Sus scrofa: one gene and its partner. The protein of the gene in region 1 purifies or fractionates together with the protein of each later gene. This does not show direct contact. Links are inferred from orthologs where the notes say so. Each region holds a gene or a part of one and is shown on either strand. Other genes may lie near its edges. The genes, in order: EPN1 and PHGDH.

Region 1 (9,474 bases):
CTGTGTGTGTGTGCGCGTGCGTGGTTGCGCACTGCCGTGTCCCAGACCAGGACTCGCCTCTGTGTTGAAGCGACGTTGACTCCCAGCCCGGCTGTCGTGGGGTCTTGCGTAGGGAGTAGGGAGAGAAGTGCTGGACGTGGCCCCACAGACAGCAGCAGACCGTCTTGTCTTCCCGACAGGTTCTCGTTCTCTGTCGAGCTCACCCGTGCTGACCCTGAGCTCTCCCAGCAGCTCCCTGAGGCCTTCTTCCCAGTTAGCTCTCTGACTGCGGGGCCTGAGTCGGAGCCCCCTGAGGGACGTTGCCTCTGGCACCCTGCCAGGTTCAGCTGCTCCCACTACCCGCGGGTGGCCAGGAGTGGGCGGGGCTTGTCTTCACCCAGCTGCTCTGCTGGGGCAGCTGCATGCTGCCTGGGATGCCGTGCACGCCTGAGGCAGTAGCTGGTCAGGGGGCCCAGGACTGTAGTGGGATAGGGTTGATGTGGCGAAGCCCCGAGTGCCGGATGCCCAGTTATCCAAGCAGGTGGCTGGGGTGCTGGGCACGAGGCGGCGAGGAGGCCGGGGTAGCCGGAGGGCAGTAAGCAGAGGGCAGCGGGGTCCGTCGTGGCTGACCTTGTAGGGCCACACGGGTCCTAGTGAGAGTGTTCGGTGTCCTTTTGAGTGAGAAGGGAAGGGGTCATTGTGAAGTCTTCAATGGGGGGGAATGCTTGGCACGTAGAGGTGGTTCCTTGTAAGGTGGGGGTGGGCAGGGGTGCGCAGCCAGTGGTTAGCCTAGCCCTGCAGAGCTGGCACCTGCTGGCTGGGGATTGGAGGGGCCGAGGGACAATCTTTGGAGCTTTGGGAACTGACAGCTTGTGGTCACTTGGGTGAAAGCTGGTTCCCTGATTTAGAGCAGTGGCAGGGGATGCAAAGAAGTCCGTGGCCTCTAGATGCCCAGACCGTGGGAGCTGACTTGGGTGTGTCGGGAGTGGTGAGGAGTCAGGTGAGAGGCAGGGGAGATGAGCAGGTTGAAGAGAGGGGAACAGTGTCAGTCCTGGGGGGGGCTGGCTTTGAGGTCCTGAGACACCCCAGCAAAGATGTGGGGGATGGCTGGACAGAGCTCCTTCCAAGTGTGAGGTCAGATGGACACACTGGTCCCCAGTGTTCAGGTGGTGGTCTGGATATGCTTGCCCGGGGAACAGCGGGGGACAGCATCACCTCTGGGGGGCAGGGGCCAGAGGAGGAGGGCAGGCAGCATTTATTTTCACCTGCTCTCCTGTTCCCTCCTCACCATGCCCTGGAGACACTAGGTCCCTACTGGCTAGTTTCATCGTTGCACCGGAATGGAGGAGCCTGGCTTGCTGGGGTGCTGGGAAAAACTAGGAAGCACCCTGCCAGGTCTCTGGGATCAGCGTACCTGTTTGTCTGTAAACTTCATCATTTTCAAGCACGCAGGAAGGGGAGAGAGGGAGGAGCCGCCATAGCGATGGAATAATGTTACAGCATAGTGTTCGTCCTATCGCGGTGTATATAGTGCTGGTACACATGCTTCACTGCCCAGTTCAAGTTACCTTGTCTTCATTAATTTCCATGATCAGGCCCCCATTTTTACTGAAACACAGAATATTTCACATTTCACATATCATGTTTCCCCCAAGATTCTTCTTTTTTATTTTTTTTGTCTTTTTGTCTTTAGGGCCACACCTGTGACATAAGGAGGTTCCCAGGCTACGGGTTCATTTGGAGCTGTAGCCACCGGCCTACCCAGAGCCACAGCAACACGGGATCTAAGCCATGTCTGTGACCTACACCACAGCTCATGGCAATGCTGATCCTTAACCCACTGAGCGAGGCCAGGGCTCGAGCCTGAGTCCTCATGGGTGCCAGTCAGATTCGTTAACTGATGAGCCACAGCAGAAACTCTTCCCCCAAGAGTCTTAAGCGCGCTTCTCTATCTCAGCTACTGATAATTGGTGGCCTGGTAACTCTTGCCTTTGGGTCTGTGCTGTTTGCTGTAGGATGTTTAGCCTCATCCGCAGCCTCCACCCACTAGGTGCCAGGAGTACTGTGTGTGCCTTTGTGACTGTGAAAAACATCTCCAGACATTGGCAAATGTCCCTTGGGGACACATTTCACTTGGTTGAGAATTACTGCTGTGAACAGTTGACTTAAAAAAAATGTTACTTTAATGAAGCCACGCTATACCTACCATCAGTACATTAACTAGAGAACCATTAGGATCCGCCTCCCCAAGCCACGTTCACATTTCTCACCGTTTTGGAACGTCCTCATGGTTGAGGGAAATAAGGAACCCGAGGGACCCCTGCCATTTGGTTTCAGACTTTCTTAATCAGTTCTTTACACCTCCCCCCCCTGCCCAAGCTCTTTTGCTTGTTGAGGCAATAGGGACATTTGTCTTACAGGATTCCCCAGGCTCTCAGTTAGGCTGCTTTTACCTCCTCTCTCTACACTTCCGTAAACTGGTGGCTCAGGCAAGATGAGAAGCCTGAGGAGATCAAGGTTTCAGGTTTTGTCTTTCCAGTCAACCTGGGTTTGGATAGAAATTTCCAAGTTTTCCTCACTTCATCCCTTGTCCAGGGGAGACATCCATGTCCTTGGGTGGTGGAGGGACCCCCCCCCCCCCCCCCCCGAGCATGGTGCCTGATGCAGGGGAGACACTCAACACAAGTGGCCTCTCTCTGAGTTTACGCCTGGCCTCTGTTCTGTGGGGCTCTTGACTCCAGCTGCCTTTGCAGGTCTTTCCTCTGTTTCATTCTTTGATCCTGGGGTGCTGGAGGAGGTTTGGATAAATGTCCCCACACCGGCAGTGAGCCCCCTCTCGCTGCCTGGGAGTTCTGAGTTGGGGGTAGATGCTGGCTGGTTGCTGTGAGGGAGCCAGCTCATCCTCGAAGGCAGAGGCTGGTTGGTCTTCACACCTTGGCTCTTGTTCCCGCAGATCTTCGTGGAGTTCACCTCTGTGTTTGACTGCCAGAAAGCCATGCAGGGCCTGACGGGTCGCAAGTTCGCCAACAGAGTGGTTGTCACAAAGTACTGTGACCCCGACTCTTACCACCGCCGGGACTTCTGGTAGAGGCGGCGGGGGAGGGCAGGGGCAGGGCTGGCTGGGGGCTTCTCCCCCTCCCGCTCCCCCTCTTTTCCCCCTCTGAAGACCATGGGCAGAGGAGTGACAGCCGAATGACAGAATGACAGCCTGACAGCCGGCAGCAACTGGAATGGCAGCAATTAAGGGTGGGGGGTGGGGTGGGGCTTGGGGCGGGGAGGGACGGGGGAGTGCTCACACAGGCCCACACAGATACACACACAGAGGGAAGGGGGGGGCGGGGTGCGCAACAGGGCTGGGTCGGATCCCCACGGCCCCTCTCCGAAACAGTCTTTCCTCCCTTACACTCCCTTTCTCTTCCTCCTCCCACCGTAGAAACGTAGCGTGTTTATATTTTATGGCCAAACTATTTTGAATTTTGTTGTCCGGCCCCAGTTACGCTGCCCTCTCCCCTTTCAGGACCACAGCTCCCGTCCTCTTGGCCTCTGGTCCTCTCCGCGGTGTTGTCCTTGGTTTCTTATGTAGCTGATTCTTTCCACTTTAGTTTCTCCAGACCTGCCCCCCAGCCCCGTCACCCCGTCCCTCTCCTACTCTCTGTGGCAGTTTCATATTTGCTAAGACGAATTTGCTCATTAAACATTTTGTTGTATTTTACTTTATGGAGCTGCTCTTTGTCTGGTGTATGTAACCCCCACCCTTCCATTTCTCGGGGTTCCTTTGGCCTAGGCTGAGGCGTCGGTCCCGGAGGCCCGGCAGTCCTCAGCGTCACCCCGGCCACGACGCCCCGGCGCCCTTGGCACGCTGCAGGTGGCACACCCCGCCTGCGTGGCCTGCTGGTCCAGGAGGACGGTGTAGGGCGTGGCCCTGGAGAGGAGGGTGCCGAGCCCGCCTGAGGTGGCGGGTGGCGGCGGCGGGAGCCGTCTGGGCTCGTGGGCCCGGAGCTCAGGTCGCCCCGAGGGTCCGGCACTGGCGTGCGGGGGCGGTCTGGGGACAGCGCGGCTTCCCGGTTCGGTCGAGCGCGCCCGGCGGCCCCGCGCTGCGCCCCGCCCCTTTCTGTGCGTTCCCGGGGTCTGGAGGCTGCGGCGGCAACCGGGCGAGTGGCGCCTGACGACGAGGTCAGCGCGCCGGAAGTGACGCCGCGCGGCCAGGTGGGGGCTGGGGGCTGGAGTCTGCGCAGGCTTGCCGCCGCAGAGGGGCGACCGGGCGGGTCGAGCAGCCACTTCCGCTTCCGGTCCATCGCCTTCGGTTGCTTCCCGTCTGTTCGGTGGCTCCCCTCCCCCGCCCGGCTCTCCGCGCCCTTCCCGGGCGGCGGGGCGGCGGGGCCGTCGGTGTGCGGTCTTCCGTGTGTCCGCGCGTGCGTCCAAGCGCGGCTCCGCATCCACCGCCCGCGGCCCGGCGCGCGCCCAGCGACACCGAGGCCGAGCGGGGGCTGGCTGGGGGGCTGCCCGCCATGACCCCCCGGAGCGCGGCTTGAGGGGGCCCAGGTGAGTGCGGGCGGCGGGCGGCGGGCGGGCGCGCTCAGGCGTCTCCACGGTCTTTGTGTGTCTGCGCTGGGCCGGCCTTGGACCGCCCGCGGCTCCGACTCTCCCGCGTCTCTGTCCGCGCCTGGGCCTCCCGCGGGCCTCCGCCTGGGCCTCGCTGCCGCTCGGGTCCGTTTCGGTGCTTTTACACGGCGCTGTCCTTGCTTGTCCGTGTCGGGTCTGGTTCTGCGTTTCTGTCGCATTTCAGCGTGTGATGGGCAGGATTAGTGTCCGTGTCTAGGCTCCGCAGCTGTCTCCGCTCTGTCTCTGTGCATCTCCCCCGGCCCGCCGTCTTCCCCTATTACTTCTGTCCTGGTACTCTTGTCCTCCAACCCCGACTCCCTCTCCGGGGGGTCTGTCGCTTGGCCTAGGATAACCCCTTCCCCTGGGTTCTTGAGTTCCGAGTGATGAAGAACCCGGCTGTGGAATCAGAGGCCCATTTTTTGTAAGTCTGTAATGTTTGTCTGGTAATTCATCTCCAGGCCACAGTTTCCCAGTCTTTAAAGTTAGGGTATTCAGAGTTCCTACATAATAGGGCTGCTGTGATCATTCACCAAGGCAAAGTGCCCAGCCCTTGTGCATAGTAAGTGTGTGGTGAACTGCTGGGAGCTCTGGGTTCCGTTATTATTACTTACAGATTTTCTCTTGCATACACTTAACGTGGGTCATTGGAGCACCCCTTGGAGAATTTTGCGGTATCGCTTGTCTTGTATTTAGTTTAATAATTATTTTTGGGTCAGCTCATTTTGGAAAAACCTGTTTTCCTCCTACATAGTATCTGTGGAGTCTTAGGTTTGCCCTGTCAGTTGAATGTTGCTTCAGTACACTTGTATAAATACACGATGTTAAGATACCACATTTTTTGATGCCTCCCTTTTGGAAATACTGTTTTTTTTTTTTTTCCCCTATTAAAACAGCAGCCAACATTATTGAGCTCCTGTTATCTGTGGGGCGCAGTGCCAAGCACTTTATGTACCCATTGTATTTAATCAACAAGCCTGCCAGGTAGAAATCCTTTCCTTCATTTAAGAGTTGAGCAAACTGAATCTCCAGAGGGCCAGGATTTCATGTTCTTTCCTTTCGCTCCCATTTTCCTTGTCTCCTTTTTCGCAGTCCCAGCTTACTGCCTCTTTTATCTTCAGGGCCTCTGTCCTTGCTCTTTGCCTGCCTACCCCGCTGTCTCCCCATGTTCCTTTATCTGTTTTCCTGTGTCTTTTGTCTGCCCAGGCTTCTCCGTGCCTCTTTCTCCACCTTCATGCCCTGTCCTCTTGGTCTCCTGTTCTGTTGGTCACATCAGCTCTTGTTGCCAGTGTGTCCGGCTGGGCCTGTCTTAGCATCCAGGCTGTTGCTTTTCAGCTGTTCACATCTGTCTCCAAGTGCCTGGCTCTCCTGCGGTCAAGGCAGGGGCCAGCTGCCTCCCCTGGGACTCCGGTTGGGGGAGGTCTCCGTCTTGGGCTAGCATGTTGGGCGAGTCCGTGGATGGTGTGTGTGCCCAGAGCCTGCTGGGATCGAGGCCCGTGAAGCAGGGTGAGGGGCGGACCACCGTCTGCCTCGTTTCCTCCCCTGTGAGGTGTGGGGCGGAGTTACGTCTCCAGGTGTGAGGCACTGAGAGGCACACCTGGCGCAGGCAAAGGGCTGTGATGACCTCACTCGCCTGACCCCTCCTTTGCCTTCTGTTTGTTTCCCATCGCCTTCCTCTCAGCACAGGTTAACTTAGACGTGTGTTTGGGAGCCACGCCGGCCTGGAGTTGAGTGTGCACTGCCAGGCCTAGCGTGTGACCTTGGTTGGGTCATTTAACCTCCAGAGCCCCATCGCCTCCTCTGTTCGAACCCTACCCGCCTGCTGTGTTTAATGAGATAATGCACGTCTTGTGCTCTTGCTCCCTGACCGCCTGGCACCAAGAGGGCGCCCGGCCCGTGGGCTGTGCTGTCCTTATCTCTCCTGCCCTGAGCCTTCCCACCCGTGGGACCCCCCGTCCCTCTGGCATTCCCTCCCATCCGTCTCTGCTCCCCTTGTCGGCCTCCCCCCGCTCTGTGTGTCCTTGTTTCTACAGTGGGTTCTGCCCCCCAGGCCCTGCTCCAGAGGTCTTTCCTGTCCTGCCTCCTTCTCTTCCTTCCTGTGCTGTTTATTGAGTGGCTCTTCCGGGCCAGCTCCTCTAATGGGAAAAGCCGTGTCCACAGCCCCACAGGGGCTCTTGGCGCGGCTTCAGCCACACAATGAAACGGTAGGAAAATCATGAGGAAGGAGTTCCTGCTGTGGTGCAGTGGAGTAAGAACCTGACTGTAGCGGCTTGGGTTCCTGCGGAGGCGTGAGTTCCATCCCCCGCCCGGTTCAGTGGGTGAAAGGATGTGGTGTAGGTCTCAGCTGTGGCTTGGATTCAGTCCCTGGCAGGGAACTTCCACATGCAGAGGGTGTAGCCACTTAAAAAAAAGAAAAAGGGAAGGAAAAGCACAGGGCGACTGAATCTGCTGTCAGGGTGGCCCTGGGAACGACAGCTGCGGTGTTGGGGTGGGTCAGGCCTGGGAGGTTTCAGCGGAGTCCTGTGGGTGAGTGGGGGGGCGAGTCCCCCGTGAGAGGGGGAGGAAGAGCGTGGGGACTGCCTCCTGACAGCACCCCCCCCCCCCGCCACCCCTCGGATCGCCGGCTTTTCTTCAGTTCTCTGGTTACGGAACGCAGCCCCATTTCCCAGAGGAGAAAACCGAGGTGCAGGAGTTGCTGGGCTGGGAGGTGGCGAGCCCCCTTGGGCCTGCGGTCAGCCCCTGCGTACTCCGCCTGGCTCCGCGGGGCCTCAGGCCGGAAGGAGCCGGGCTCCTTCCAGGAGCTGAGGGATGCCTGGGGGCCTCGGGCGGAGGTCAGCAGGGCTGGAGACAGGACCTCGGCCTCCGCCCCGCACGCGCTGGGCTCCGGCCGGGTGGCCATGGGTCCTCTCCTCTCCACAGATGTGGTGACCTGCCGTCACTGTCGTGGCCTCCCCCCCCAGCTGCCCCGTCGCTGCTCGCCCGGGGGCCGCCCCCTTCCGCGCCGCCCGCCACCATGTCGACCTCGTCGCTGCGGCGCCAGATGAAAAACATCGTCCACAACTACTCGGAGGCTGAGATCAAGGTGCGCGAGGCCACGAGCAACGACCCCTGGGGCCCGTCCAGCTCCCTCATGTCCGAGATCGCCGACCTCACCTACAACGTGGTGGCCTTCTCGGAGATAATGAGCATGATCTGGAAGCGGCTCAACGACCACGGCAAGAACTGGCGGCACGTGTACAAGGTCAGTGCCTGGCCCGCCGCCGCCGCCGCCACTGCCGCAGACCCCTCCGGGTGGGCGCAGAACTGGGGGGCGCGGACCTCCCCCTTCCTGGTGGCTCAGAGGGGCTGGGGTTCTGCATCTTCGCGTAAAATCTCTGTCTTGTCCCGTGACGGTGACGGACGTAACGTTTTAGGGATTTTGAGCCTTGGGGTGTTCGGAGAAATGGCATGTTCACAGGATTGAGCCCTTAGAAGGCCCCACCCGTCTGGGTTTGGAGCTCAGTTCCTCCCCCAGGGGCAGCCCGTGTCCCCCGCTTCTGCCCTCTGCGGTGATGTGTGTGTGGCTCCGGGCAGATGGGCAGCGCCGGGACTCTTGGGGATCCGTGGGGTGGCTCTGTGTCTTCACTGCCTCAGTGGCTCTTCGGTCACGTGAGTTACCAGAGCTTAAGACCGTACATGAGAAAGAGTGTGTTTTACTCTGTGTAAGTTATGCTGCAGTTTTAAAAAAGGAAAAGCATTTTAGGGATCATTCTCTGTTAGGGCAACAAAAGTCTGTTCCTTTTTTTTTTTTCCAATTTCGTTCCTGTCCACCGTATGGACTGGTCGTGATTGATGTGACCAGCTGCCTTGTGATGGATTGTAAGTGGCTTGCAGTGTTTTGCTCTTACAAAGCAGACGGCCGCAAATACCTGTGTGTGTTTGCAGTTTTCCAGAGTGAGTGTGCGTGTGTCAGTGGGCGCTTCAGCCTGTTTACCAAAATGGCACAGTGGACAGGTGGACCGACAGGCCACAGGTTTTGGGTACAGGGAACTTGGTTGCAGGCGGCACTCAGTGGCTGAGTTTCCTGTCTGACTGCTGCCCTGGAGACCTGGGGCCTGGTGTCCCAAGGTTGAGTCAAGAAGGGGCCGAGGTCACGGGCTGAGGGCCAGGCCCCCCTCCCAGCAATGCGGCCTCAGGCCGGTCCAGGGTCTCTGTGTGTGCATCCAGCTCCTGGGGCCCAGGCTGGCGAGCGAGGCCCAGAAGTGTGGGTGAGTCCTTTTGTCACCTGCTCTGTGTGTGGCGGTGGACAAGACAGGTTAGGCTCCCGGTCTCAGGGACCAGACTGGTGCCTGTGCCGGACTCTCTGTCTCTCTAGGCGAGGAGGCTGAGGCCAAGGGCAGATGGCAGCTGCCTTTGGAGCTGGGGGTTGAGCCTCCTGGCCCTGGCTCCTCTCTAGGCCCTCCCTGCAAAGCGGGCTTGGGCGGGTGATTTGAGTCAGTTGTGAGGCAGTGGGCAGGGCAGCGGGGAAGCTGGGAAGCCTTGGTGTGGAGGGGCGCGGCGGGGAGGGGCCTGAGGGCTTGAAAGAGGGGGAGAAGCTTGGTGGGGTGGGGGGACTGGTGGGTGAGGGGAGGTGAGTCCTGAGGGCGCTGGTGGCTGGGGAAGCCTGCAGTGGGCAGAGCAGTGGGCAAAGCTCAGTGGAAGTACTTTTTCTGAGTGAGGAAACTGAGGCACAGAGACTGGGGGGCCTGGAGGGGAGCCCCTGAGCCCACCCGTTAACTCTGGGCTGTGTCACCTGACTTCTCTGGGGATGGCAGGGCCTCGGTCTTGGCAAAGTACGGCCCTCGGGCCCCCGCCTGGCTTTGTACATCAAGCTTTACCCGCACGCGGCCGTGGGGTGGGGTCGCGTTCGTGGGATGG
Region 2 (8,736 bases), on another chromosome or scaffold:
CTGGTGTAAGAGAGATGTTTCCATCTGTTTTCTACCCCTGTTTTCTCAGTGGGGCTGTGGGCCTCTCCACCCCTATGAGAAGATAGGTGTTAGGAGTGCAGGCCTGAGAGTCAGAATACTTGTGTCCTCGCTTTACCACTTGCTACTTCTGTGCCCTTGGCTAAATCATTTAACCTCTGCCTTAGTTTCCTTATCTGTAAAATGGGAAACTAACCCATCAGGTATGGGGGGCCTAGTAAATGCTGAGGATATGTTTGCCCTTCTCAGCAAAGTCTGCATCCTGTCTTCCTTCCCCTGAGCTTTGTCTTCTCCAGCTTTCCCTCCGCCCATCAATACGCCTCAAGCTTTGGCTGCTTTCAGGAGGTTGATGAAGTTTATACCCCCGAGTTTCCTGCCTGCCCCCAGCTCCCAGGAGCCAACCTTCCTTCCTTCTCCGCAGCCTCAGGGAGGTCCCTCTGCTTTGGGGGCCTGCCTCCTCCCCGGCCAGCCCAGACCAAGGGTCTTCCTGTGTCCTCCTCATCCGAGGTGCCTTCATGTCTCACTTTCTTCCTCTTGATGTCCTTCCATTGCCCAATTAAACGGGCCCTGTTGGAAGGATCTGTCGTTAGTCATTTTTACGTCTGTGTGATTAGTCACCAAGTTATACCTTCCAAGTCCAGAAGCACTTCAAGCCTTGTTGAGAGAAACTTCAAGAGAGGAGACCATGCTCTCCCCTCTGGTGACAGCATGGGTGTTCACCCCTTTCCCCAGAGATGAGTCCTTGTTGAGTCCCTGTTGCTGTGGTAACCCCAGGCTGCACACCGCTGCCCTCCTCCCTTAATTATTATTATTAGTAGTAGTAGTATTGTTTTTTTAGAGCCACACCTGCAGCGCTTGGAAATTCCCAGTCTAATAGGAGCTACAGTTGCTGGCCTGCACCAGAGCAACTTGGGATCCGAGCTGTATCTGCTACCTACACCATAGCTCACGGCAACACTGTATCCTTAACCCCCTGAGCAGGGCCAGGGATTGAACCAGCACCCTCATGGATACTAGGTGGTTTTTTTTTTTTTTTCTTTTCTTTTTTGTCTTTTTAGGGCTATACCTGTGGCATATGGAGGTTCCCAGGCTAGGGGTCTAATTGGAGCTGTAGCCACTGGCCTTCCCCAGAGCCATAGCAATGCGGGATCCAAGCTGAGTCTGCAACCTACACCACAGCTCACAGCAACACCAGATCCTTAACCCACTGAGCAAGGCCAGGGTTCGAACACCCAAGCTCTTGGTTCCTAGTCAGATTCGTTAACCACTGAGCCATGACGGGAACTCCCACTAGGCGGTTTCTTAACCCGTCTCCTCCCTCACTTCTTCCTCACTCTGTTGAAGTGGGCAGTGAGGCCTGTTTTTAAGGCCTGGGGGGCCTCTAGCTGCAGCTGGCTTCTCCCCTCCTTGTTCTTGCCCCCTCCGACTGCGTCACTGCTCCCCATGGGATCGCCCTCCCTCACGTGGGCTCCCTGCTTTCCAAGGGCTTCTGAGCTCCACAGGTCCAACCACACACCACCTCCCCATGCACCTGTTTGTGGTTCAGAACTTGGAGGTGGACAGACCCGCCTTTGCACTCTGGCCCTCCCCCTCCGTGTGTCAGCCCCACTCCCTTCAGCTCTAAAGTAGAAAGAATAGTGCAACTCACTTGTGTGGTCATGAGAGGTAAACTGGTGTTGGGGAAGACTTAGCAGTAGTGGAGTTCCTGTGGTGTCTCAGTGGGTTAAGAGCCCAACCAGTATCCATGAGGATGTAGGTTCGATCCCTGGCTTTGCTCACTGGATTAAGGAGCCAGCTTTTCCACAATCTTTGGTGCAGGTTGCAGATGTGACTCAGATATGGCATTGCTGTGGCTGTAGTGTAGGCCAACAGCTGCAGCTCTGATTCAACCCCTAGCCTGGAAACTTCCATATGCCGCCCGTGTGGCCCTGAAAAGAAAGAAAAAATAATGGTAGTGCTTGGTATATGGTCCATGGGCCATAAACGGAGGCCGTGATGAATAATACCAGTACTAATAATTAATAATGACACTTCCTCCCTCTCTCACTTCCCCAGACTATAGGGTATGATCCTATCATTGCTCCAGAGGTCTCGGCCTCCTTTGGTGTGCAGCAGCTGCCCCTGGAGGAGATCTGGCCCCTCTGTGATTTTATCACCGTGCATACACCTCTCCTGCCTTCCACCACAGGTAGGTGTGTCCCTGCCTTGGGGGGTGGCCACAGAAGCCACAGACCAGATAAGGGTGGGTCCCCATCCTAGGCCTCCTGTCTACACTGATGGGGGGGTGGGGGCATCCGGGTCCCAGGAGCATGGAGTGTGGTTGATGCTTCGTTGCACAGCCCTGCTTCAGACTGAGGAGGGGTGAGCTAGCTGGGGAAATGCAGGTGGTGTGGGTGAGCTGAGTGGACACACAGGACCAGTGACCCCACCTGGGGCTCCTCCAGGCCTTTCTGGTTTAAAGACCCACTTGGAAGACGCACTGATATCTCAAGGATGTCTGGGATGTTTTTAAACTGAGTCTGGTCCAAATCCAGAAGAGAATCTCCTGCCCCAGAGCACCTGAGAAGGGAGCAGTGAGACCAGAGAAGCTGGGTCCTGCAGGAAGGAGGCATGTGGGGAAGAGCTGGTGCGGGGGAGGGAGGGGCTGCGGGGTGGAGCGCAGGCGCCTTGCGATGGATCTGAACTCTCCAGGCACCTCGGTCGCAAGAAGTCTCCTTCCTCCCTCCAGGCCTGCTGAACGACAGCACCTTTGCCCTTTGCAAGAAGGGGGTGCGCGTGGTGAACTGTGCTCGCGGAGGGATCGTGGACGAAGGCGCCCTGCTCCGGGCCCTGCAGTCGGGTCAATGCGCTGGAGCCGCGCTCGACGTGTTCACGGAGGTGAGTGGCCGGCCTGGTTCTGGGGCTGGAGCGGAGCAGGGCGCGCTCCCACATGGGGAGCCCAGCTGTGCAGAGGGCTCAGCTTGGGCCTACTGTCTCTAGTGGGAGAAGTTGTGACGCCAAAAATAACACGTTTGTGGTTTGAGGAGCCCTGGCAGAGCTGGGGACAGAGGCGGCCGTGCTGTCTTCTGAGATAGATTTTCAGAGGGACCTGTTCCTGATCTCATGCTAACTTTGGGGGCAGACAGAGCTGCAGATCAGGGGGAGGACTGGGGGCAGGGACAGAAGGGTGTAAGGAACTGTCTCATACCCACTGCCCGCATCCTGCCCTCACCGCCGCCGGAATGATGATGAGTGCATTTCCTGTTCACCCCTCTTAAAAATCCCATCCCTGGCATCAGACATCCAGGGGACAGAGCGTGGGCTTTGTGCTCAGTGGAGGGGCTCTGTGGCCTTGGCAAGTCCTGACCCTCTGAGCCCCTGTAGCACTCAGCGTCTGTTCCCTGCCCTGGGCACACTGTGCATTGGGCTTGTGGTCCTGATCATCTTTCTCAGCGTCTGGAAGCCGGGGTACACCTGACCTTGTTGGTGTTGCCGTCTCCCTAATGCATGCCCTTCTCCCTGCTCTCTTTGGCCTCCTCGTGGCCCTTATGCTCTGTGGCCGGCGCTCTGAGACCTGCGTGGCCAGAATCCACTGGGAACCGGTAGGGTCTTGGGAAGAATGACCAGAAGAGAGGGGGCTTAAGCGACATTTCCACGGGTCCTACATTGTGCCCAGTGAGCAGAAGGCTGGAAGGGGCCCTGGAGGATGGGGAAGAGGTGCCCAGGTGGGCCCCCTGTCATGTCTGTAGCAGCCCACCCAGAGGAGTCTCTTTCTGGGCAGGAACCACCCCGGGACCGGGCCTTGGTGGACCACGAGAAGGTCATCAGCTGCCCCCACCTGGGCGCCAGCACCAGGGAGGCCCAGAGCCGCTGCGGGGAGGAAATCGCCATCCAGTTCGTGGACATGGTGAAGGGGAGGTCCCTGGCCGGCGTTGTAAGTGTGCCATGGGGGGCTGGGCCCAGATGGCGGGGGAGCAGCCGGAGGAGGGCGTGCTGCTGGTGGCAGTGGGGCTGAGCAGTGACCGGATGCAGTGCTGGGAGCTGGAGAGGAGGGACCCGCGTGAGCCGGCGCTCCGGGTGGGGCGGCAGGAGCTGCCCATGCTTGGCCTTGACAGCAGAGGCCGGCAGTGGGGAGCCAGCTCGGCCTGTTACAGTGCGGCCTTGCTGCTGAGATGGTGGCTTGTCCCAGGGCCCTGCCTCCAGAGAAAGGCTCCTTTGTTCTCCATAGGCCCTGGGAGTGAAGGAGGGTGGCTGGCGTGATGGCCGGATGCCTGAGGTGGGGGCGGCTGGGGGACGCCTGTGGAGAGGGCCCTGGTAGGGCGTTCTCACCTCGTGACCCGGAGCATGCGCCTGGCATCTCGTCCCTCTTAGACCCCGGGCCGGGACACGTCCTGCCCCACAGCCTGCATCTCCCCCTCCCCCCAAAGGACCCCTCCACGCCAGCGGGCCCCCTTCCTTTCCCCTAATCATGGCTTCTTGACTGTGCTCACAGCGGGCCCTTCCTGGCATGTGTTTCACCTTCACGCTGAACTTGACCTAGACTTCATTCCTGTTTCATTCGTTCGGTCTTCAGATGGTCCCTAAGCTCCTGGGGGTACCAGATACCGTCATCGCCCTGTGGGGACCTGGCGATGAATAAGGAAGGCACGACTCTGGTTTCAGGGCTCTCCCCAACCCCTCCGTGGAGACACGTTTGGCCTTTCTGGCTCCAGCCCAACCCTTGTGCAATGAGCCACGTTCTCTCTCGTTAGTAACATGTATGAGTTTGTATCTTCGTCCTTAATTAAATTCTCAGTTCTCGAAGGGCAAAAACCAAACCAAAACCAAAACAAACCCAAACCCCAAGCCAGGAGGTAAGCTTCTCTGCAGCTCGTGGGGCACTGCCCGTAGCATTTAACCAATAATGAACGAGGGTGGGAGCGGGGCCAGGGGGTGGTCCCTGACCCCTCTGGCCGACTCTCACTCAGCGCAGGGATTTTCACTTCTGAGGACAGAACTGAGACACAGGATGCTTTGTTCAACGCTGCCGGCGCTGAGTGGAGAGCCTGGCTCCCCAGGCAGTCCTGGCCTCTGCCTCTCGAGAAAGGGGCCCACCGCTGCCCTGCCGCGGGCTCTTCAAGAGCCTGGTGACAGCTCGGCGGTCGACAAAGCCATGTGGTCCATCAGTGTCTGCGCCCTCCTCTCTCTGTGTGTGTCTGTGGGCTCCTCAGAGGAGGGCACAGCTTCTCGCTCCCTTTCCACCCCATGGGCTCCTGAGTGGCTCATTCCTCCCCTGGGGAGGCTGAGGGGTACCCAGGTGAGCTTGAGGTCGTGACCCTTGTGACCCTTGCCACCCAGTCTGGGCTGGCCTCATCCCTTTCCTGTCCACTCTCAAGGCAGTTTGCAGGCCTCAGCACTGCAGCCCTTGTGAGTCATTCCCGTTGTCATTGGGGAGCGGTGGCATTCCAGGCCTTTTCCTGAAGGGGACTCCTTAACACCAGCCCCATCAAGGGGACCCACAAAATGGTCCCCTCTTACATAAGAGGTCAAATCTCGTGGTCAAATAGTCAAACTTTGGGAGATCCTCTTGTGGCTCAGTGGGCTAAGAACCCGACATAGTGTCCTGAGGATACAGGTTTGATCCCTGGCCTCACTCAGTGGGTTCAGGATCTGGCATTGCCATGAGCTGTGGTGTAGGTCGCAGATGTGGCTTGGATCCCGCCTTCGTGTAGGCTGGCAGCTGCAGCTCAGATTCAGACCCTGACCTGGGAACTTCTGTATGCTACAGGTGCAGCCCTAAAAGGAAAACAAAGAAAAAAGGAGTTAAGGTTTAGACAAATTGAATGCTCCGACCACAGCGCCTGGTGGGGTAGAGTAGGCATTCGGAAAGAAAGACGCTTTGTCACCTAGGAACCCTCTCTGTCCCTTGTTCTGTACTGGGTCCTCTCTAAGAGAGCTCACATCTTCTCTAAGCACAGGCACAGACGAGCCTTAGGGTCAGGTTGATGCCCAAAGGCACTGGCTCTTCCCGGAGCCTCTTGCTCATCCTCTGGAGGCCACGGAACGCGCCTGTTACTTGGCCAGCCTGTGATGCGCATGGCCTGGCCCGCACGGGGGCAGAACCAGGCGTAGTGCCGCCTTGGTGGCTTCTCAGTCCAGTGCTTTTCCTCTGGCTGCTGTAGGCGCTCGCCCCCAGCTGTCGCCTGGCGCTGCAGCCCTGGGCTCCTTCCTTCCTCTGGTCCTCGGAGAGGCCAGAGGGGAGCTTGGCCACAGGGAGCTCTCCCACCAGGCCACCCCTCACACCCAAAGGTGCCCTGGGGAGTCCTGCCTCCTCGGTCGTTTCCATGATTGTCACGACTCTCTCTTCTCTAATTTTCTGCCCGTTGTGTCTTTACGAAAACAGGAGTAGAAGTGGCCTTTGCATTACATCTAATAAGTGCCTGATTGATTTGCGGCCATCCCCAGGTTTCTGATTAATTCCTTCTTAGATGGGTCTCTTTGTAAGTCACCTCCGTCAGAGTGGCCGCTTCACTCAGAGCCACAACATCTCGAGCCACGAGATGGAAGAGACGTTTTGATCCAGGATGAGCTGGCTTTGTTTTCAAGCCCCAGTGGGGGGTCTAGCCAGCCAGACCTTGGATTTATCACATTAGAGGATGGTGTGGCTTCTGCCTCCGTCCACCTGCCCAGCACGCCTGGGGTAGAGAAGTTCACCGGAATCACCATTTGAAGACTGATAGCATATCAGAAGTGTAGGAACCCAGGCTTTTAAATTGTGATATTTGGATAGAACGTTTTGTGACAAGGTAAAAACATCTTTTTTTTTTTTTTTTTTTTTTGGCTGCCCCTCCTCTCCCCGCCCCCATGGCATGTGGAAGTTCCAGGGCCAGGGATTGGCCCATCATCCCTACGACAGGGACAATGCTGAATTCCCTAGCCCACTGAGCCCAGGGAACATCTAAAAACACATTTAAAAAAAGTCAAGAGAGAGGAGCTCCCGTGGTGGCACAATGGGATCACTGGCGTTTCTGCAGCACCAGAACACAGGTTCGGTCCCTGGCCTGGCATAGTGGGTCAAAGGAGCGTGGCTAGAGCCACGGCCTAGGTTGCACCAACGGCTCACATCTGATCCCTGGCCTGGGAACTCCACATGCTGCCGGTGAAGCCAAAAAAGAACAAAAATGAATTAAAAAATCAAGATAGAAAATACAAATGAAGGCAAGTGAGCAGTGCCGTCTCAGAGGGACCCACCCCGCCATCCAAGGGATCTGTGACTCCCCATATGTTTTACGTCTCTGACATAAAATCTTCCTCCCTCTGCACAGAAAAACAAGTCCCTGGAGTGGGACAGAGGCTCAGAGAAGAGGGAGCGCCCCCCTGCACCCCCGCTGGCAATGCAAAGTGGGTCTTAGCCTGTGCCCTTTTCTGACCCTGTAGCTCTCCTCAGCTCTAGGAACAAGGTGTCGTCTTGGTGGCTTGATGGAGGTTGTCACCCCCCAGGTACCCAACGCAAGGGGGCCCCGTGCCTTCTGCTCTCCACATGGCGCTAAGTGTCCCCAGTGAGACCTCTCTGGGGGGCTGAGTCTGGCAGGTGTGCCCTGTTGGACCCCTTCCTGGCCTCAGCCCTGCTCCCCCTCTCTCTGCAGGTAAACGCCCAGGCTCTTACCAGTGCCTTCTCTCCACACACCAAGCCTTGGATTGGTCTGGCTGAAGCTCTGGGGGCACTGATGCAAGCCTGGGCTGGGTCCCCCAAAGGGACCATCCAGGTGGTAACACAGGGTGAGCCGGGGACTCTGCAGAGGGAGGGGGAGGGTCGTGGGCCCTGCACCCCACAGGGGTGTGTCTGCTGCAGGCCACAGACCAGCGAGGGACTCGGAGGTGACCGTGTTCACGGGACGCCACGTCTCATGTTCGGTCCGAGTGTGACTCGCTTGCTTCTGAGCGGGGCAGGAGGGGAGGGGCACAGAAAGCCATCGGGAAATATACCTGATTTTCATGCAGCTGTTTATGCAGCATTTTTAAGATGAGCAGGTTTGGGGTGCAAGAGGGACCTCCCCAAGATTCGGAGTTTCACATGAGAGGCAGGGGCATTTGTGAAGGGAGTTTGGGTGAAGCAACAGGACATTTTATTCTGCTGGTGACCTGGTTGCTCACCTGCTGTGCACCCTCCCTTCCGTGAGGCCCAGGCCCTTCTCCACTTGTGAATTGAAAGCCGGGGCGGGTATGTTAGGAGAGGCAGGTGGTGGGGACATTTTGTGCTCTGTGACATTCTAGGGTGGGCTTTCAGGCAAGCAGACATACGAGGGGGCACTGGCCCGGCGGGGGAGCGGGCATGAGGCTGTGTCTCCTGTCTGTGGGGCCACAGGCTCTGGCCGCCTTTGCAGTGGGTCTCCAGAGGCATGTCCTCCATTGGCTGTTGGGCATCTAGTCACTTGGGGAGAGGTTGGGTTTGAGGCAGGTTGACCTTGAGCTTTGCCAGTACTGGGCAGGGGCAGAACCAGGGGTCCCTGCTGGCTGGGTGTCCAGGCCCCAAGGGACGAGGTGGGGAAGTGGGCACGGGTGCTTTAGTCGCCCCTTTGTGCCTCCATTTCCTGAGGCTGCCAAGGTCCTGAGTGCCAGGTAGGGGTGAGTGTAGGACGTTCTTCAAGTGCCCCCTGGGGAATGACGGGCAGGCCAGGGGCAGTGGAGTTGGGCTGAGCTGTGGAGAGGAGTTTCTTAGACCAGTGAAGAGGGTCCCTGGTGACCTGGCCTGGACCCCAG

The links.
Region 2: the proteins of EPN1 (region 1) and PHGDH purify together in Homo sapiens (affinity purification with mass spectrometry; 3 studies listed by BioGRID and IntAct, with this or other methods). This does not show direct contact. The link is inferred for Sus scrofa from reciprocal best matches to the Homo sapiens genes EPN1 and PHGDH.

The regions. Positions count from the first base shown.
Region 1 is NC_010448.4:59,785,708-59,795,181, forward strand, and holds the start of EPN1 (epsin-1), read left to right. Parts: upstream 1-4,415; 5' UTR 4,416-4,521; intron 4,522-7,497; 5' UTR 7,498-7,591; coding exon 7,592-7,819; intron 7,820-9,474. Other genes in the region: U2AF2 (splicing factor U2AF 65 kDa subunit), read left to right, coding at 2,933-3,067. UniProt on the Homo sapiens protein: Binds to membranes enriched in phosphatidylinositol 4,5-bisphosphate (PtdIns(4,5)P2). Modifies membrane curvature and facilitates the formation of clathrin-coated invaginations. Regulates receptor-mediated endocytosis.
Region 2 is NC_010446.5:101,448,638-101,457,373, reverse strand, and holds part of PHGDH (D-3-phosphoglycerate dehydrogenase), read left to right. Parts: intron 1-2,073; coding exon 2,074-2,206; intron 2,207-2,746; coding exon 2,747-2,895; intron 2,896-3,778; coding exon 3,779-3,931; intron 3,932-7,622; coding exon 7,623-7,755; intron 7,756-8,736. UniProt on the Homo sapiens protein: Catalyzes the reversible oxidation of 3-phospho-D-glycerate to 3-phosphonooxypyruvate, the first step of the phosphorylated L-serine biosynthesis pathway.